2 linked regions of the Drosophila melanogaster genome follow. The protein of the gene in region 1 purifies or fractionates together with the protein of each later gene. This does not show direct contact. Each region holds a gene or a part of one and is shown in the gene's direction. Other genes may lie near its edges.

What was found.
Region 2: the proteins of Tom70 (region 1) and mrva purify together in Drosophila melanogaster (affinity purification with mass spectrometry, with the first as the bait; one large-scale study listed by BioGRID). This does not show direct contact.

The regions. Positions count from the first base shown.
Region 1 is NT_033779.5:12,035,195-12,040,240, reverse strand, and holds Tom70 (translocase of outer membrane 70), read left to right. Parts: upstream 1-1,729; 5' UTR 1,730-1,948; exon of another isoform or gene 1,949-2,070; 5' UTR 2,071-2,110; coding exon 2,111-3,086; intron 3,087-3,176; coding exon 3,177-3,970; 3' UTR 3,971-4,238; downstream 4,239-5,046. Other genes in the region: CG6766 (uncharacterized protein), read left to right, coding at 39-856, 914-1,414; CG18788 (uncharacterized protein), read right to left, coding at 4,256-5,046.
Region 2 is NT_037436.4:7,325,590-7,330,664, reverse strand, and holds mrva (minerva), read left to right. Parts: upstream 1-1,822; 5' UTR 1,823-2,336; coding exon 2,337-3,773; 3' UTR 3,774-4,392; downstream 4,393-5,075. Other genes in the region: mus312 (mutagen-sensitive 312), read right to left, coding at 1-366, 426-949, 1,028-1,074; CG42307 (uncharacterized protein), read right to left, coding at 1,074-1,236, 1,302-1,426; Rint1 (RAD50 interactor 1), read right to left, coding at 4,520-4,706, 4,783-5,075.

The DNA.
Region 1 (5,046 bases):
CATCCCATTGGATTATACATAATTTCCGAATTCCGCAGCTCCAATTACTCTGCTGCAGCCCATTTTCTCCGCCCTGACTTGCACGTACCGCATCGAGGCCTACTGGTCGTACGAAATCTGCCATGGCCACCATGTGCGTCAGTATCACGAGGAGCGCGAAGGAAAGAACGTCAAGTTCCAGGAGTACTACCTGGGCAAATGGACCGATGAAAAGATGGAAATACTGACAAAAGCCTGGCAAGCAGACATCAAGGCGGGCGTTAAGCCGAAATACAAAAGCCTGAAGATCGACAACACTCGGTATCCATACTTTGAGATGGAATACAGCGATGGCACTATGTGCGACATAATTAACGCTCCTCGCACCACAATGGTGCGTTATGTGTGCTATCCCCATGGTAAGAACGATATCTACTCCTTCAAGGAGACATCCTCGTGCAATTATGAGGCCATTATACTTTCCTCGGCGCTGTGCCCAATTCGCGCCCTTCATGCCGAAGAGACCAAGGAACTATCCATACAATGTTTCAACTCCGAATCGAAACCGCACAGACCGCTGAGCATGCTGCGGTCGGAGCTAAAGGAATGGGTTGAATCCGAGGCGGATCTGCTGGTTTTCAAGGAAAAGGCTACGGAAAATCTGTGGCCCAAGACGGATGGCGATTTGGTCACCCTTAACTATGGCGGTGATATGGAAAAAGTCCTGCTCGAGCATTTCAGGAATGGTGACCTGAAGGTAGACGGAGACTTTCAGCAGCTCCTGCTGTCTATAGCAGCCTCTGAAACTGGACCAACACCCATCACTGATCTGACGCCCCTTAAGGACTTTATATCGGGCAAGAACTGCCTAACTGGGGTAGGAATAACATGCAGCTGACCCATGCATTTGCTTCAATAATACTCTTTTTTTTAGGGCAATGGCTGGTGGAAGTACGAGTTCTGCTATGGCCGACATGTGCGTCAGTTCCACAAAGATAAGACCAGCGAAGTGGAGCTCTTTCTTGGCTACTTCTCAGAGGAAGCGCATCGTGCTTGGTCCAACGCCAACCCGGACAAGGGTGCACGCCGTTCCGGCTTCACGACATCCATCTGGCACCATTATGGCAAGGGAACCCACTGCGAACAGATTGGAGTGCCCCGCGAAGTGGACGTGAAGTTAACCTGCACACCTGTAACGAACAGCGGCACCGCTGTATCCATGTACCTGCTTGAGCCGAAGACGTGCCAGTATATCCTGGTCGTGGAGTCGCCCACAATATGTGATCTCATCCACAACGCCGATTCCCAGGGCCTAGTTAAACTGGAGAATCTGGACAAGATCTTGGTTACGGAAACCGATAAGTCGACTACCAGTTCCGCTTCTGCTCCTGCTCCAGCTCCAACTTCCAGCACAGATGAGGAGAATCACCCATAGGCTGTCCGTGTATTCTAGTGAATTCCTATAAATACATTGATTGTAATATTACAATGCATTTGTATTTCAATTTGTAAAGTGGATGAAACCGATTTTAAAATTTAAGAACTCTGTTTCGGTCTGATAGAATGTAATATAGAGATCTAAAATATTTATTCGTACAGTATTCGTAAAGTATAAATTCAGGCTTTATTACAAATACATCATATTCGAACTCCTTAGTTTTTTTTTAAACTATTCACACAATTTATTCTCTCACTGATCTTCTTCTTCCATAATAAGCATTCGCAGTGCCGTTATTACTCCATACCTATCGATGTCTATCGTTTTTCGATGTCGTGTGCTCAGCAGGCTGATATACAATAGAATCTAAGTTTCCCGAGTTCTAACTGAAAATAGAACAATCGACGTTTAACAATTGCCAAATTCACAGCAGTGTAAAGTTTTAAAAAAGTGTAAGTTCCGTTCGCTGACTGCACTGATTCACATCCCGGCCAGTTGGGGGTGTGAAAAATCAATTGGGTTGGGGGTTAGGTACTGCAGAAACGTGCCCCCCGCCCGGCATTTAGCAAGCTCAAAAGGCGCTGAGCGATAAGCCAGCGGAGTATTACACAATTTGTGGCGGCACCCAAACTGATTCAGCTCTTTTCTTGCAGTTCATCACACATAACACACATCCATAAAAAGACCGGCTCAATGGCGATGACTCTGAACATTGGCTCGATGAAGCTGACAAAGTGGCAGCTGGCGCTCATCCTTGGAACTCCCCTGGCCATTGGACTGGGCACCTATGCGGTGAAGAGCTGGACGGCTGCGTCCAAGGAGTTGGACGGGGAGAAGAAGAGACCAAAGGCCAAGATCGAGAAGCAGGCCATCTCCCTGGACGGCACCGCACCGGACCAGGAGCTAGAGCGCAATCAAAAGTCCGCTGAGCTGGGCGAGAAGCTGTCGCCTCTTAAGGAGGCCAACAACTACAAGACGGAGGGTAACAACTGCTACAGGAATGGGAAGTACGATGAGGCCATTAAATTCTATGACAAGGCCATCGACAAGTGTCCCAAGGAGCACCGCACTGACATGGCCATCTTCTACCAGAACCGCGCCGCCTCTTACGAGATGCTCAAGAAGTGGTCCAACGTCAAGGAGGACTGCACAGCCTCGCTGGAGTTCAATCCTCGTTACGCCAAGGCATATTATCGTCGTGCCCGTGCTCACGAAGCCACCAAGGATATGAACGAGTGCTTGGACGATGTCACAGCCACCTGTATCCTGGAGATGTTCCAAAATAATCAAACTATCATGTTCGCTGACCGTGTGCTCAAGGAGACCGGCCGACTGGACGCCGAGAAGGGTATGCGCAATCGGGTGCCAGTCGTGCCGTCGGCTTGCTTCGTAAACACCTACACGCGTTCCTTCATCGCGGATCCGCTGCAGACCATGAAAGTCCCAGCCCCTAAATCCGATGCACCCCCAAAGGGTTTCCTGCGCGCCCACCTCGCTTTCCTCGAGGAGAAGTACGAGGAAATTATTCCCGCCTGCACCGAAGAGATCGAATCCTCCGAGGCCGAAGCACAGTACAAAGTGGAGGCTCTGCTTATGCGGGGAACTTTCCATCTGCTGTGCGGCTCCTATGTAGAAAGCCAGCAGGACTTTGATGCTATTATAGCTAATGGTAAGAATTTGTTTAAGTTTAATTCATTAATTAGTCGGTTTTCTTCAGTTGTTTTTTGATTTCTATTCTATTAACTTTATTTCACTACAGACTATGCTGATCCCAACTTGCGTGCGTATGCCTACATAAAGCGGGCAGCTCTCTACATCCAGCTGGATCAGCGCGAAAAGGGTATAGCCGATTTTGCTGAGGCGGAACGCCTGAACCCAGAGAACCCAGATGTGTACCACCAGCGCGCCCAGATACTTCTGCTGCTGGAGCAGATAGAGCCCGCCTTGGCCGAGTTCGAAAAGGCGGTGAGCATTGCACCCAACCACGCCATCGCCTTCGTCCAGAAGTGCTATGCCGAGTACCGACTATCCCTCCTGGCCGGCGACCAGCGGCGCTTGGAGAGCGTAATGCACACCTTCCAAAATGCCATCGAGCGTTTCCCGAGCTGCGTTGAGTGCTATAGTCTAACGGCTCAGGTGTTGGCCGACCAGCAACAGTTTACCCAGGCGGAGGAATACTACAAAAAGGCCATGGTATTGGCGCCAACAAATCCTGCACTTATCGTTCACCAGGCCATCATGGTGCTTCAGTGGCGCGGAGACATTAATTTGGCTGTCCAGCTGCTCAACAAGGCGATCGAAGTAGATCCCAAATGCGAGCTGGCCTACGAGACACTCGGAACAGTCGAAGTTCAGCGGGCGCAACTCACACGGGCCGTCGAGCTTTTTGAAAAGGCACTGCTTTATGCCAAGAGTCAGGCGGAGTTGGTGCACGTTTACTCGCTGCGCAACGCGGCAGTGGCCCAAATCAACGTCACCAAAAAGCTGGGTATCGACATGAACTCAGTGTCGGCAATGGCCCAATCCGGATTGATGGCCCAGGGCGTTGCATAGAGTATGAAACCGGTGTGTGTTGGGATTGATATCCCGAGAAAATAAGAGCCAGCGCGGAGCATTTAGCCAGCAGTCCTACTCTAATTAAGTTAATATCGACCATACCTGTTATTTATATATATATATATAAAGCTTGTTTACGTTTATGCTCCTAGCTTTAGCATAGAAATTGTCATGTATTATGGTACATATGTAAACTAGAATCTGTTGCCTAAGGAATCCACTAAGACAAATCCAGTAGCTTATGTTTAAGCGTAAGATTAAACTTAAAACAAGCAAGTCTCCTCATTGTGGCTCCCGTTCCGGTTGGTTAAACGCCTGGACATCGCCGGATATGTAGCTGGCGCCGATTACCCACATGGCGGCCCTCACACTGCTCACCAGCTTGTAGTCGGTCTCCAGTTGTTCCAGATAGGGCATCAGAAGTGCTGGAAGCGCGCCCATGCCGCCCGAAATGCCCATCAAAGTGCCAGCATAGTTGGGACTCATATCCAGCGGTAGCAGCTTAATGCTCGCATAGTAGGCTCCCATGCCAAGAACGCTCCAGATTCGTGCTCCGCTCATCTTGATCTGTAGCATGTACATGGATCCGCATAGGAAGACCAACCAGGACATGAGGCGGCGTGTCTGAGTGCGCGTGAGAATCTGCTGCTCGATTAGCACGTCGCTCAGCCGCCCTGTTGTCAGTGAAGCTATCCAGTTTCCAACGGACGGTGCTATCGTTTCGATGATGGTGGTTAGTTCTGAGAAACTGGTGCCACGGGCTCTTACTTCCTCTAGCGCAATTTGCAGCTCCTGGGGCAATTTCTGTTGGAATTCCTGCTGCATGGAGGTGGAAACCAGGGCCCAGAGTGGCGTGCTGTTAAGCATGCTCCGCCAAGGTGCAGTGTTGCACGTTGCTTCCACTTCTCTGCGGTGCTCCCTATCCTCACCTTCATATCCATCTTCCCCGTCCATCTCCTCTCTTTCTCTGCCAGTGGTCAACAAAAAGGAGTTGCTAGTATTGCACCTTATGTATTCCCTTTCTTCGCTCTGAATAAACGGACAATGATCCGGAGTGCTATAGCAAACTAAGG
Region 2 (5,075 bases), on another chromosome or scaffold:
TCGCTGCCCAATTCTTCAAAAGATGGTGTGCCGGCGTGCGACTAACTTCAAACAAGTCGGTTACGTAGTATGATTCTAGGTCATCTATGGGCCCTTCGCTTGGTTCCCGAAGGATGCGAGATTCACCCTCAGCTCTGAGTTCCTTCAATGCTGCGGTGATCACAGTGTATGGTGTCAGACAACAGTCTTCCCCGTTGGGCTCCTTGCCGCGCATTTCTTGGCCAAGCAATGCAGACACTTTCTCCTCGAGCTTCTTCTGTTGCACATCCGGATTTCTTAAAGTTAGGGAAGTAAACCTATTGGCCCACTTGCCACGTCTACCTCCTTTGCTGGCCACCACGGGCAGGACCGCCAGAGATTTATAATCTAAATGGGGATAAAACGTAAGTCCAATCTTACCGTTTACACTTTATAAGATGACTTACCTTCCTTGGCGGCTGTGCGGAAGCCATACTTCTGCAGTTTATGACGTATTCTCTCAGTGGACTTCTCTTCATCATCCAGTAGGTCAACCACCGCATCGTCATCGTCATGCAGACGAAGGCGTCCATGCTTCTCACTCTCCGATTTGGACAGCGCCAGCGCCATTTCAATGTCATCCGCACTAAAGTTGTCCGCCATGCAATGCTGGGCGGTAACCTCCGCGAAGATCTGCTCGTTGCGTAGAAAGTTGCTGATACTGGGCTGTTGTTTGCTCTTTCCGCGTCCACGACGCGCCCCACTCGACGTTGACACAGTGCTGGCCTTGAGCTTGGGTGCCTTTTTGGGCTTGGGCCCAGGTTTTTCGAACACATTGCTGGTGCGTATTGGTTTGATTTTTGGCGCAGGAGGATCGGGCTGAACAGGAATGTCGGCGAGACATGACGGAACTTCTTCAGCATTTTCGGGTGTGGCAAAGAAGTTGGATAACGATAATGTATCTGCGGCTGCTTTGGTGCTTCGCGTCAAACTTCGGATGAAAGGAAAACAAAGTGTTCGGTTAGATAATGACATTCATTTTATTGGCCTTTATTTCAATTAAAATTACCGAGGCTGCAGGTTTTTGAAGTTGGCTCGCCGCGTCTTGCGATCCATTATTTGTTCCTCTGCTCCTCGCTCTCCTTGATGGCGTCCCTGATGAACTGCGAAGTCCTTGGTGCGCCGAACTCAAAGAGTCCTTTCCTATCGCGCTCCTGTTCGGTTTGGGCCACCGCCTGGGACAGCTTCTCGTTGGCAATGCGCTGGATGGGAGTCAGGCTGAAAACGAGGCGGTGGCAAGCATTAAAACCACATTTATACGTTAAGTTCGAAGATCTGCTCACCTCCAAATGCCGAAGAGCACAGTTCCGGCGGCCAAGAGGGCATAGGCAAATCGATTGCGATACGTGTAGGATGGCGTGCCGTAGGTGCGTCTGGGCTTTCGCTTGGTGGTGTCGATGGGATCCATTGCTGCAAGGGCCGCTGAATTATATAATTAAATACATTTTACCCGGTAAAAAGTATGAAAACATGCTTCAACTCGGCGTTGCTGGATTAGGGTTGTCAGGCTATACTAAATTAAATCAAAACAAGATGCAAGAGATTTCTGCGTCGTTGAGCTCTTGTACTTAAATAGTTTCTCAATTAATGATTATCTTGTTTTATTAATATAATCAAGCGTTTTTATTTTTATTTATATAATTCTATTATATAAATAATCATGGCTTACTAAAATTTGCATTTCAATTAGAGTAAACTTTCGATTATAATGGAGAGCAAAACAGGAATACCGTTCATATTTGTGATCGTTATCGCCTGCCAGCTGTTCGAATGCACCTGTAGCTGCGTCGACAACCCTGCTCTACAGCGAGTTGGCAGCCCCGCCATTGTATATGCGTAATTAACGTTAATTAGGCAGAGGAAAGAATTTAGTTTTATTCGATCAGCAATAAAGTGCGGTTGCACACGTCACCGAACATTTGTTGCCCAACACCGCACTGCGAACTTCAGCTGCAAGTGGAGTGGAAAAACTGCTGATAACCAGTGAACCCAGAGACAACTAACTAGCCCACACAGCCAACAACAACAATAGTTGTTAGACAAAGGGTACTAGTACAGTAAACAAAAACAAAAGCAGCGAGATAAGCCAAGACAAAGCAGAAGAGTTCAACTCGCTCACTCGTTCGCAGAAATTGATACAAATATTTTGCAGAAACGGCAAATACGAAAAGAGAAAAACGAAAGCAAAAGAAAAAACAACTGCGGCAGGAAATCAGAAAGCCGATTAATCATATCACATAGTTTTGCATACGCCCATTCTGCGGGATTCGGCTCCACATCCAACTGGTCAGTGCGGATTGTGCCAGCGGTGAGTGGAGATGGCGCGCGAGGACGAGGAACGCATCGTGGACAATGAGGAGGTGTCGCGACCGACGGAGGAGGACCAAGTGGTCAGTCGGGCCGGTCGGCGTGACAATGAACTGAGCCTTCCGTCCGGCGGCTGCTGCATGCCCTCGAGCACGAGCCACCGGTTCATGGCTCTGGTGTTCATGTGCCTGCTGGGATTCGGCTCCTATTTCTGTTACGATGCACCCGGCGCCCTGCAGAACTATTTCAAGAAAGATCTTAATCTGACCTCCGCCCAGTTCACACTCATCTACTCGATTTACTCGTGGCCCAATGTCGTCCTGTGCTTCGTGGGAGGTTTCCTGATCGATCGACTGTTTGGCATTCGACTGGGCACGATTATCTACATGATGATCCTGCTGGTGGGTCAGTTGATCTTTGCCTGCGGCGGCATTCTGGACGCCTTCTGGATGATGATCCTGGGACGGTTTATCTTCGGCATTGGCGCCGAATCACTGGCGGTGGCCCAGAACAGCTATGCGGTGCTCTGGTTTAAGGGCAAGGAACTGAACATGGTATTCGGCCTGCAGCTGTCGGTTGCCCGATTCGGCAGCACCGTCAACTTCTGGGTGATGCAGCCCATCTATGAGTATGTGAGCAATTTTTACAAGGGACATACCGCTCTAGGCGTCGTCTTATTGCTGGCTACCCTCACCTGTGTGATGTCGATGACCTGTGCCCTCATCCTCGGCTGGATGGACAAGAGGGCCGAGCGGATTTTGCAGCGTAACAACAACCCGGCTGGACAGATACCGAAACTCACCGATGTCTTTTCGTTCAAACCACCCTTTTGGATGGTATCCATCATTTGCGTCGCCTACTATGTGGCCATCTTCCCATTCATTGCCCTCGGACAGAATTTCTTTGTTGATCGCTTCGGGCTTTCGCCTGCTGAGGCCAACACCGTGGACTCGCTGGTGTATCTAATTGCAGCCGTATCGTCTCCGGTCTTTGGTTTCATCATCGACAAACTGGGTAGGAATGTGACCTGGGTGTTCACAGCGACACTGACCACCATTGGAGCCCATGCCCTGCTTACGTTCACCCAGCTGACACCCTATGTGGGCATGATCATCATGGGACTGTCGTATTCCATGCTGGCCGCAAGCCTGTGGCCTCTGGTGGCTCTCATCATTCCGGAATACCAATTGGGCACGGCCTACGGCTTCTGCCAATCGATACAGAATCTTGGCTTGGCGGTCATCACTATCGTGGCTGGAATTATCGTGGATCACAGCGGCGGCGAGCACATGTGGCTGCAGTTGTTCTTCATGGGCTGGCTGACCATTGCCCTGATCTCCACCGGCGTCATCTGGGCCTACAACAACAAGAACCGCGGTAATCTCAACATGACACCCCAGCAACGGGCACAGTTCGTCAGCGCCGAGAATTATCAGAACTTTGAATAGAAAGGGGGGGATACAAAGGCGAACGGCGCCCGCAGATCGGATTATTATCGGTTATTTAGTGTAGACATAAAAGTTACTCTCTGCGGGCAATGCGCCTTGGTCCGTTCCACGATGTGATGATGATGTGTGATGTGCGTCTCGAGTCGCAAATTGGTATTTACTAACTGCAATTGTTTGTCATCCGACGATAGGGATATACAATACGCCCTGATCAGCCATGAATCAGTATTGATATGCGATTCGAGCCCGATCAGGCCGGTTTATATGCTATTTTACGCTATGTATTTTTAGATCAATTTATTATTAAAGTTAAAGTTACCGCATGTTTTTGTGTCAACGTTTTACAAATTAAACCAAACATTGAGACCACAATTCCAACTAAATGTTTAATTATCACAAAAAACATTCAAGACTTGTGCGCCTAGAGCAACGAATTGCTATTTAATTGTAAATATGTACTCAAAATTATATCTCATTCATACAACTTGGTCGTTTGTTACTAGCATTCGCACGAGTTCGAAACTGTGTCCTGGTTAAATACAAATTAGTTAAATCTCCGTCATGATAACTATGTTTATACACATGCCTTTCTTCAAATAAAATGAATGTAAATTACGATAAACATCTTTTAACTTTCATTTTGGGTGTTAATGATTTTATTTCGCAAAAAAACGGCGTCCGAACGTTGTATATCATTTCAAAAGTTCCTAGGGCCCAATTAACTAGCTTAAATTAATTTCCATCACCTAAAACATCTTTATGTCCATCCTCCGCTCCAGAACCTCAATGCACTGTTTGCTGTCCATGCTGAGCACATGCAGTTCCCTCAGCGGCTTCGTCTTCTCCTCCACCGATTGATTACCACGCAGCGTTTCCAGCAGCAACAAAGCTGTTCCTCGTGCCGCCGCCAGCAGCTTGCAGGCATCGTGTGTTCTGGCGAATCGAATGGAAATGAAAGGTGTCAGATTTATGTTTATTGTGCACCATAGCAAATGTAGAGATGACTCACCGCTTGAAGAGCAGCTCGGGACGACGTGTATACTGTCCAAAGAGCGCGAATAAATTGCGTGTCATGTCATAATTGAATTGCGCTGCTCCCGCAGCTGAGAACTTCGTGTTCATGACCATGCTCTCGAGCATGAAGTCATCGATTTGATGGGCTATCAAACGGAGCGTTTGGGTGAACAGATTGGCGGAGAGTTCCCGTTCCAGATTGTGTAGCAGGGTGACCAGCACCTGGAACATTTCGCCACCACTGGGCGAAAGGATGAACGGCTCCCGGCTGTTTTGTTCGGGCATAGT